Linked DNA regions of Oryctolagus cuniculus. The protein of the gene in region 2 purifies or fractionates together with the protein of the main gene of each other region. This does not show direct contact. Links are inferred from orthologs where the notes say so. Each region holds a gene or a part of one and is shown on either strand. Other genes may lie near its edges.

Region 1 (4,963 bases), on a different chromosome or scaffold from region 2:
ACACCACACAAGGGGTTGGGAGCGGGCTCTTTATTAGGTGGCTATTGGGGTCCTACAGGGTGAGCATAGAGCAGCTGTCACCCTGTCAGTCACAGTGGCTATGCGTCTTCAGGAAGGCCTGGAGGCTGGGACAGTGAGCCCACGTCTAGAAGTGGAATTGGAAGGCCTGGGTCACATGCTGCCGCCACTCCTCCAGGCTGGGCAGCAGGGAGGAGATGCCCATGACGTGCCAGGTCTCTCCATCCGACACCATCGAGGTCTGGTAGGACAGCAGCTGCACGCCTGCCTCTGCCAGGAGTCCTGGAAGTGGAAGAAGCCTCAGACTGACCCAGGGCATGAAGGAGGGGGAAGATGGGGGCTGGTAGCAGAGTGAGGCATCTGCAATCAAAGTTGCGATGGGGTGGAGGTGGCAATGGCCTTAGAGTCAAAGAGCTGAGACAAAGGAACAACAGGGCACCTGCCCGCTGCCCCCGCTATTCCAGAGACTCTTCAGAACCACCCAGACCACCGGGCAGGCCAGGGCAGGACAGATCTGGCCACAGAATGGTAGGCTCTGCCGTGCAGACTGACAGATGTATCCAGGCTGGCCCTTCAGAGTCTGGTTGGACACATGCTCTGCAAAACCCAAAGGTGCTCCAAAACCCCCAGCAGCCTAGGTCCCAGGGGCCCGGGGCAGGTCTGGGATGCCGGTGACCACTGGAGGGGATGGCTCTGTAGGACTTGCTGTAGCCAGGCACTTGCTGGCAGGGCCTAACTGTGCTCCACATGGCCAGCTCAGAACACATAGTCAAGGCGGTTACAGCGGCTCTGGTTGCACCTTTCACATTGCCCTGGGGCAAGGCACTTGCTTTTTCTGAATTCGTTACCCACACCGGGATATTCTGGGAACTGCTCTGTAAGGCGCGGACCCGGAGACACCAAAGCATGGAGAGGGACTGAGGAGGCAGAAAGTCCTTGGGACCCAATTCCAGAGCAGACGCCCCCCACCCCCACCCCACTGCCCCTGCCCTAACCAGCTCCCCAGGGCCCTTCTCACCAATCATCGTAGGCAGCAGAGCCGGGTTGGAGGGCTGAGCCCGGAACATGAGCAGGGGCAGGCCCCGGCGGAGAGGCACTTCTGGCCTGAAAACAGCTCCGTTGAGAGCCTGCAGCACAGGTGTGGTGCCCTGGACCGAGCCCACAGCCTGGTAGGGGGCACCTGCCAAGGCCACGGTCAGGACGCATTCCCCACTGCCCTGCTCCCCTGCAGCAGTGTTGCTGTGGGAGGTGGTGACCTGCGGAGAGAAGGCCAGGAGGCCGTGACTCCTCCTGGCTGCATCCCAGCAGCCCTCCCCCTGGGCTCCAGCCTGGCCAACAAGGTCTCCAATTCAGGGCTGAGGCTGGGGGCGGTGTGGAGGGAGGGCAAATGGACTGAGCTGGAAAACAGTCACAGACCTCCCTAAGGGTCAAGGGCAGGCAGAGGCTTGCAGGGGAGGGGTGGGAACCACGCAGAGGAAGGGAGGGAGGGAGATTGGGCTGTGAGGAGGCCTCCACCGCTGAGCTGATGGGCACTTCCTGCTCCCACCTGCTGCTTCCTGCACAGCACCAACGGCCTGCCCCGGATGGAGGGAGGAGGGGCCTGCAGGCGGGGCCGTGGGAACGCTACTGCTTGTTGCTCCTGCCAGCTCCCTCTGACTGAGAAACTCAGTGGGGAAGATGCCAAAGGGAAGCCAGTGAGGCAGCAGAGACCATGCCACCTGGGGATAAAAGGCAGCACGAGCAAAGGCGCTGGGCGCTGTGGAGTATGGGACCTGGGTGGAGAGCCAGGGTGGACAGAGCTGGGCCTTCTCCAAGCCTCTGGTCTGGATCAACCCAGCTCCTGGGTTCCTCAGCTGGGCCACGCAGGCACTGCCACCACGGGCTGCTCACAAGCACTCTCCTGAGGCCCAGGGCACCCAGCAAGGCTCTCCATTTTGCAGCAGAGATGAAAACCACCTCTCACAGGGGCACCCGGTGTGCACCCAGGATGGATGTCAGTGAGGGGCACTCAGCATGTGGGGGCTCTGAACATGTGGGGGCGCCAGCAGCGCTGACAGGGGACACGTGGGGATGCGGACGCACAGCGAGGCCAGCCTCCTTCACCAGCAGCTTGGCGTTCACCAAGTTCACTTCCGCCTGCTTGGAAGCTTCTTTCAGGAGGCCGACTATGACAGCGGGGCTTAGGCAGTTCCCTGCATTCTTCAGGGATGCTCCTGGGGACAGAGAGACGCTGCCATAAGGTCACTTTGTACGGAGTGCCACAGAAGGCGATGCAGTGGGTCAAGGCTGTTGCGTGCAGCACCCGCATCCCACAAAGGAGTGCTGGTTCCAGTCCCAGCTGCTCCACTTCCAATCCAGCTCCTTACTAATGCACTTGAGAAGGGAAAATGGCCTAAAGAATCTGGATCCCTGTCAACCACTTGGGAGACCAGGGTGGAATTCCTGGCTCCTGGCTTTAGCCTGCTCTAGGTCTGGCTGACACAGTCATTTGGGGAGTGACCCAGCAGTTGGAAGCACTCGCTCTCTCCCCTTCTCTCTCTGCTACTGTGCCTTCCAAATAAAGAATCTTTTAAAAATAATCAAAATTAAAAAGGGGCTGGAGGCCACTACTGCTAGCTCCAGGCTTTGGGCTGCAGTGTGCCCTGCGCAGTCCCCCTTCTCCCACAGCGGGCTCAGAGGCAGCCATGGGAGACATCCAGGTTACTTAAGCAACCTAAGAAACTCCTTGGCAAAGCTCAGCCCAGCTCTGCTGCTCCCTACCAATGGCTTGGCTGCTCTGGGCTGCCTGCTGCTCTCCCAGGAGCCACTGAGAAAATGTCCTATCCCATCCTACTTGGCACTCAGCCCCTTGTGGGCCCAGGAAAGGAAAGTGGAAAGCCGCGGTTGCTACACTGCTGCCCTGCCTTGTTCCTTCCTGGAGCTGGGCACCCAGGGGGTGGGGATCCCCAGGCTCTGCCCTTCCCCGGCATTGTCAATGCCTGGCGTTTAACTGCCCACACCCTGCAGTCTCTCCCAGCATGAAGATGCCTAGCAGGCAGTGGGAGAGGACCAGCCTCCCCAGGGTTCAGGGAACTGCAGCCCTCCCTGGTCACCCAAGCACATCTGCATGGTGCTGGCGATGCTGAGGCCACCACAGGCTGCTCAGCAGCCCCGGGGCTGAACACAGGCCCTGCTCTCATCCTCCTCCATGGCCGAGCAGACACCCGAGGACTGCGGACTGCCCCCCTTAGCAAGTCACAGAGCACAAAACATCCCCATCGCTGCACCGGGAGCATCCACCCACTGGCTCTCCCTCGCCATGTAAGGGACCCGAGGCTCAGAAAACGGAAAGACAAACAGTAGGTAAGCAACAAGGTCAAAGCCAGAATTAAGCCCCCTGGTGCTTAATTTGGTTCTCCCTCCACCGAGCCCACCACATCTTGCATGAAACTCTCTTGTAGAGGTTCTCTCTTGCAAACAAAACAAGTATATCTTGCAAATACTACACAGAATGACTTTAGAAAATTCAACACCTCTTCCAAGGAACTCTGCATACTCCTTCCCTGTGTCTCCAGCCTGGCAGTGGGTGAACTGCTCTCAGAGCAAGGCCGGGTCTCCTGTCAGACTCATCCCAGTCTCTTACCAGCTCTGTGCAACACCCCCAGCAAACCTGGCCCATGACCCCTTTCTCAGCCCCTTGCTATGTCCACATGCAGAGGGTGATGCTGAAAACTCCGGGCTCACCCTGTGTCACCACCTGGATGGTCCCTTTGGGGGATCCAGCCCAGGCTCGCATCAGAGTCCCCAGAGCTTCTGCCAGGCCAATCCAAGGCTTGGTGTGTGGAGAGAAAGCGCTGGTCAGGGCCTCGGCATTCACCTGCAGGGAAAGGGGGGGCAGTGCTGTAGTCAGGAAGAGGCAGGCCAGGGGCTCACCTGCCCGACTTAGCAACCACATCAAGGTTGTGTTGCTGAGAGCTGGACAAAAGGGCCTGCCTTGCTTTGGGTGCCTGGTGGGTGGCAACTCCCGCCAGCCAACAAAGAGACAATGACTTGTTCCTGCAGGGGAGCTAGAGAGCCAGAAATGGACACAAAAGGCCAAGAACACTCAAAATGACTAGGGGCGGGGGGCATTTCCTCCATCAAGGAGTATGTCAGCCTTGCCTCTCTATGAAAACTTGGGTTCACCTGTGCTGGGTTAAGGTCTGGAGAGCACAATGCGGGGGGGGGGGGGTCTTTGGCACAAAAAAACACATGGCATCCCATGTGCATCTCCCTTGGATGGCATTCTACACTTGATCTTAGCCAAAAGGCCGGGAAGCGATAGGATAGCATTCTAAGCTTGTCTTCATTTCTCATCTTCTGCCTTGATGGCCCTGAGTGTTTACGTCCCAGTGAAACACCATGAACACATAGCACAATGCATAAAGCCAGATCCATGATCTGGGTGATCACTTCATGCTGTGAGTCCACGGTGAGGCAGGACATGATTTAGGGAGGCTCAGGAGGCCGGCTGGCACAGAGGGTTCATGTTGGCAGGTGTGGGGAGTAGGGTGAGACCCTGACTATGGACGGGACGGAAAGAGTGCTCTGGGAGTTTACTGGGTGCAAGCTCCCTGCAGAGGCCTTGGGAACAGGCCAGCTTGCCGCTCGCCCAGGGCCAGCTGTCACCCTAGCAACACTCCTCCAGCCCCAAGGCACCAGGAGAACAAAGCCGCCTTTCTCTAGTGGCTGGGCCCTGGGAACCGCCAGTGTCTGCAGCAGGGCCACAATGTAGCAGGGATGCCCCAGGGCTGACCATCAAGGCTGGAGACAGAGCCCCCTGCCCCGCCCCCTGCTCCCTGTGACTTTAGCTTCCAGGGCTGCGTCTGTTCACCCTCACTTGGCCTCGCCCCTCTCTGCCCCACACAGCGATACTCACCACCCCCACTAGAGACTTCCCCTTCACCATGTCCACGAACTGGACGGC
Region 2 (4,963 bases):
CCTTCCCCATCTCATCTCTGTGCCGACCCAGTGGACACCCCCCTACTGCCTTCCCTGTCTCATCTCTGTGCTGACCCAGTGGACACCCCCCAGCGCCTTCCCCATCTCTGTGCTGACCCAGTGGACACTCCCCACTGCTTTCCCCGTCTCCACTCTGTGCCAACTCAGTGGGCGCCAGCGCTGCCCTATGTGGGCCACCCCCCACCTTCCCCGTCTCATCTCTGCTGACCCAGTGGACACCCCCCAGCGCCTTCCCTGTCTCATCTCTGTGCTGACCCAGTGGACACCCCCCAGCGCCTTCCCCGTCTCATCTCTGTGCCGACCCAGTGGACACCCCCCAGCGCCTTCCCCGTCTAATCTCTGTGCTGACCCAGTGGACACCCCCCACCTTCCCTGTCTCATCTCTGTGCTGACCCAGTGGACACCCCCCCACCTTCCCCGTCTCATCTCTGTGCTGACCCAGTGGGCGCCAGCGCTGCCCTGTGTGGGCTACCCCCTCACCTTCCCCATCTCATCTCTGTGCTGACCCAGTGGACACCCCCCAGCTCTTCCCCGTCTCATCTCTGTGCCGACCCAGTGGACACCCCCCAGCGCCTTCCCCGTCTCATCTCTGTGCTGACCCAGTGGACACCCCCCAGCGCCTTCCCCGTCTCATCTCTGTGCTGACCCAGTGGACACCCCCCACCTTCCCCGTCTCCTCTCTGTGCTGACCCAGTGGACACCCCCCAGCGCCTTCCCCGTCTCCTCTCTGTGCTGACCCAGTGGACACTCCCCACCTTCCCTGTCTCATCTCTGTGCTGACCCAGTGGACACCCCCCCACCTTCCCCGTCTCATCTCTGTGCTGACCCAGTGGGCGCCAGCGCTGCCCTGTGTGGGCCACCCCCTCACCTTCCCCATCTCATCTCTGTGCTGACCCAGTGGACACCCCCCAGCGCCTTCCCCGTCTCATCTCTGTGCTGACCCAGTGGGTGCCAGTGCCGCCCTGTGGGAAAGGCTGGGAGCTGGCCTGGCCTTGCTACCTGCTGCTGTTCAGAGCAGGTTGTGGGAACGGCCCCTACTTGGAGGGGTGGGGGTGGGGCTCCCTCCCCGGAATGGGCAGTGGGTAGATTGTCATGGGCCATGGGACCCCCTGTGGCTCTTTTGACAGGTGGAAAGGCCTGCCTAGGCCGGTGTTAGCCGGAAGGTTCTCGGACCAGGGCAGAACGGTGGGGAGTGAGATGGTGGTGCCCACCTTGCCTGCCTCCATTGGGTGCCCTGGGACAAGACTCAGTTCCTCTCTCCTCTTGGGGCCCTTTGTGGGTGTGGGTGTTGGGGGGAATTCCACTCCAGGGGAAAGGGACTCTGGTCAGCTGGGCCCAGTCCTGTGCTCACCCCCAGAACTTGGGTGCTGCTTGAGTGAGTGTGTGTGTGTGTACATGTCCTGTCCTGTGTGCACTGCAGAGCTGGGGCGCACGTGTGTGTGTGTGTGTGTGTGTACTGCAGAGCTGGGGTGTCTGTGTGTGCACTGCAGAGCTGGGGTGTGTGTGCACTGCAGAGCTGGTGTGTGTGTGTGTGTGTACTGCAGAGCTGGGGTGTGTCTGTGTGTGTGTGTGTGCAGAGCTGGGGCATTTGTATGTGTGTGTACTGCAGAGCTGGGGTGTCTGTGTGTGTGTGTGTGCAGAGCTGGGGTGTGTGTGTGTGCAGAGCTGGGGTGTCTGTGTGTGTGTGCACTGCAGAGCTGGGGCGTGTGTGTGTGTGTGCACTGCAGAGCTGGGGCGTCTGTGTGTCTGTGTGTGTGTGCACTGCAGAGCTGGGGCGTGTGTGTGTGTGTGCACTGCAGAGCTGGGGCGTCTGTGTGTGCACTGCAGAGCTGGTGTGTGTGTGTGTGTGTGCGCACTGCAGAGCTGGGGCGTCTGTGTGTCTGTGTGTGTGTGCACTGCAGAGCTGGGGCGTGTGTGTGTGTGTGCACTGCAGAGCTGGGGCGTCTGTGTGTGTGTGCACTGCAGAGCTGGTGTGTGTGTGTGTGTGTGCGCACTGCAGAGCTGGGGCGTCTGTGTGTCTGTGTGTGTGTGCACTGCAGAGCTGGGGCGTCTGTGTGTCTGTGTGTGTGTGCACTGCAGAGCTGGGGCGTGTGTGTGTGTGCACTGCAGAGCTGGGGCGTCTGTGTGTGTGTGCACTGCAGAGCTGGGGTGTGTCTGTGTGTGTGTGTGCGCAGAGCTGGGGCATTTGTATGTGTGTGTACTGCAGAGCTGGGGTGTCTGTGTGTGTGTGTGTGCAGAGCTGGGGCGTCTGTGTGTGTGTGCACTGCAGAGCTGGGGCGTCTGTGTGTGTGTGCACTGCAGAGCTGGGGCGTGTGTGTGTGTGTGCGCACTGCAGAGCTGGGGCGTCTGTGTGTGTGTGCACTGCAGAGCTGGGGCATCTGTGTGTGTGTGTGTGCACTGCAGAGCTGGGGCATCTGTGTGTGTGTGTGTGCACTGCAGAGCTGGGGCGTCTGTGTGTGTGTGCACTGCAGAGCTGGGGCATCTGTGTGTGTGTGTGTGCACTGCAGAGCTGGGGCGTCTGTGTGTGTGTGCACTGCAGAGCTGGGGCGTGTGTGTGTGTGTGCACTGCAGAGCTGGGGCGTCTGTGTGTGTGCACTGCAGAGCTGGGGTGTGTGTGTGTGTGTGTGTGCAGAGCTGGGGCGTGTGTGTGTGTGCGCAGAGCTGGGGTGTGTGTGTGTGCACTGCAGAGCTGGGGTGTGTGTGTGTGTGTGTGTGTGTGTGCACGGCCTGTCCTGTGTGTGTGTGCACTGCAGAGCTGGGGCATGTGTGTGTGCACTGCAGAGCTGGGGCATCTGTGTGTCTGTGTGTGTGTGCACTGCAGAGCTGGGGCGTCTGTGTGTCTGTGCACTGCAGAGCTGGGGCGTGTGTGTGTGTGTGCAGAGCTGGGGCGTCTGTGTGTGTGTGCACTGCAGAGCTGGGGCGTCTGTGTGTGTGTGTGTGCACTGCAGAGCTGGGGCGTGTGTGTGTGTGTGTGTGTGTGTGTGCACGGCCTGTCCTGTGTGTGTGTGCCGAGTGGGCAGTAGGGAGGTGGATGGAAGGAGGCATCCAGTTCCATGGGTTGGGGGGACCACCTAGTTCCTTGGGGGGGCAGAGGTGAGCAGATGGGGGATGCTTAAGGTGGGGGCCGCGCAGGTGTCTGCAGGGCTGGCTCGGGCCCTCTCCGTCATCCTGCCCCGGCTCCAGCCAGGGCTGGCTGGGACTTGGGGGCGTCTCTCTCCCGTGCCCTCACGCTCCCCTCTGTCTCCTGCTGTAGTCGTCCCTCATGGATCTCGCTGACGTCTTCACAGCCCCAGCGCCTCCACCGGCCTCTGACCCCTGGGGGGGCCCAGCACCCATGGCTACCGCCATGCCCACGGCTGCCCCCGCCTCGGACCCGTGGGGGGGACCCGCTGTCCCTCCAGCTGCTGATCCCTGGGGCGGCCCAGCCCCCACGCCGGCTGCTGGGGACCCCTGGAGGCCTGCTGCCCCCGCAGGGCCCTCTGTGGACCCTTGGGGAGGGAGCTCGGCCCCCGCAGCTGGAGAGGGGCCCACACCTGACCCGTGGGGAAGCTCTGATGGTGAGTTCCCGACGCCCGTGTGCCAGGCGGGGGGTGGTGCCCTGGGTGCCCTGGGGTGGGGCTCAGGAGAGGGCATGGGATGGGGACCTGTAGGGAGACACTGCTCAGCCGTGGGGCGGAGAGGTCAAGCCAGAGCCTTGTGAGGGGCGGTGGAGCACAGCGGGCCAGGGGCCCTGCTGGGTGAGGGGCGGGGAGAGGTGCAGCAGCGGGACCTGGTGAGGGGCGGTGGAGCCCAGCGGGCTAGGCGCCCTGCTGGGTGAGGGGCGGGGAGAGGTGCAGCAGCGGGGCCTTGTGTGTGAGAGCCCGGGGCTGGGGAAGGCTCCTGGGGAGAAGACGAGCACCTGGAGGTGGGCCTCGGGAGGTCTTGGGTCTGAGTGGCAGGCGAGGGTGCTAGCCCTGCTGTGCCTCCGTGGTCACCCAGGAGGGGCCTCGCTCAGTGGACCCCCGGCCTCTGACCCCTGGGCACCGGCTCCAGCCTTCTCAGACCCCTGGGGGGGCTCCCCTGCCAAGCCGAGCACCAACGGCACTGCAGGTACGAGGTGGCTCCGGGCCTGGGGGTGGGGGTGAGAGTGGCCGTCCCGGGTCCTGAGGCACAGACGCGGGAAGGAGATGGGGGTCGGAGGAGGGCAGGTGCTAAGTGGAGCCTCCCGCCCCTGCCACCCCCACAGCAGCTGGGGGCTTTGACCCAGAGCTCGATGAGTTCTCTGACTTCGACCGGCTCCGCACGGCCCTGCCAACCTCTGGGAGCAGCACAGGTGAGCCCCCTGCCCCCTCAGTGCAGCCTTCGGGCCGGATGTGAGGGTGAAGCGTTCGGTGGACGGAGCCATCCGTGCGTCTGTCTGTCTTGTGTGTGAGGCAGGTGGATGGAGATCCCACACCCGTTGGTTCACTCCCCAAACGCCCGCAGCGGCTGGGGCTGGGCCAGGCTGAAACCAGGGCCCGGAGCGGCACCCAGGTCCCACCAGGCGGCAGCGCCAGCTCCAGTCATCCCTGCCGCGCCCCAGGCTGTGCACTGGCAGGAAGCTGGGTTTTAAGTGGCGCCTTAGCCGCTGCCCCACCTGCAGTGGGCAGAGAAGAGCGGCTTTGTTTTGAGTAATCGTGTATTCAGAGAAAGCGTCTAGAAGTGGCACAGAGAATTGTCCTTTTGAGATTTCCCCCTTGAAGGCCGGCCTCTGACGACCAGAGTCTGGGGGGCGGCCCCAGCAGGCGTCCTGCTGGCTACAGGGCCTGGCCGTGCGGGCGGCTGGGTAGCCCCCCGGCTCTGCAGGCTGCCCCTCTCTTGGCAGTGACCTGTTGGGGAGTGGGTGGGAACCCCACTTCAGAGAGTCTTAGGAGGCTGTTGTCAGCGCCTGTTGGAGCTGAGCACCCGTGTCCAGGCCCACGCG

The links. Proteins that work in one complex are often made in the same cells at the same time.
Region 1: the proteins of EPN1 (region 2) and PHGDH purify together in Homo sapiens (affinity purification with mass spectrometry; 3 studies listed by BioGRID and IntAct, with this or other methods). This does not show direct contact. The link is inferred for Oryctolagus cuniculus from reciprocal best matches to the Homo sapiens genes EPN1 and PHGDH.

What each region holds. Positions count from the first base shown.
Region 1 is NC_091438.1:50,856,322-50,861,284, forward strand, and holds the end of PHGDH (D-3-phosphoglycerate dehydrogenase), read right to left. Parts: coding exon 4,916-4,963; intron 3,875-4,915; coding exon 3,742-3,874; intron 2,232-3,741; coding exon 2,101-2,231; intron 1,275-2,100; coding exon 1,037-1,274; intron 301-1,036; coding exon 146-300; 3' UTR 16-145; downstream 1-15. UniProt on the Homo sapiens protein: Catalyzes the reversible oxidation of 3-phospho-D-glycerate to 3-phosphonooxypyruvate, the first step of the phosphorylated L-serine biosynthesis pathway.
Region 2 is NC_091449.1:3,309,662-3,314,624, reverse strand, and holds part of EPN1 (epsin-1), read left to right. Parts: intron 1-3,274; coding exon 3,275-3,578; intron 3,579-3,999; coding exon 4,000-4,110; intron 4,111-4,246; coding exon 4,247-4,333; intron 4,334-4,963. UniProt on the Homo sapiens protein: Binds to membranes enriched in phosphatidylinositol 4,5-bisphosphate (PtdIns(4,5)P2). Modifies membrane curvature and facilitates the formation of clathrin-coated invaginations. Regulates receptor-mediated endocytosis.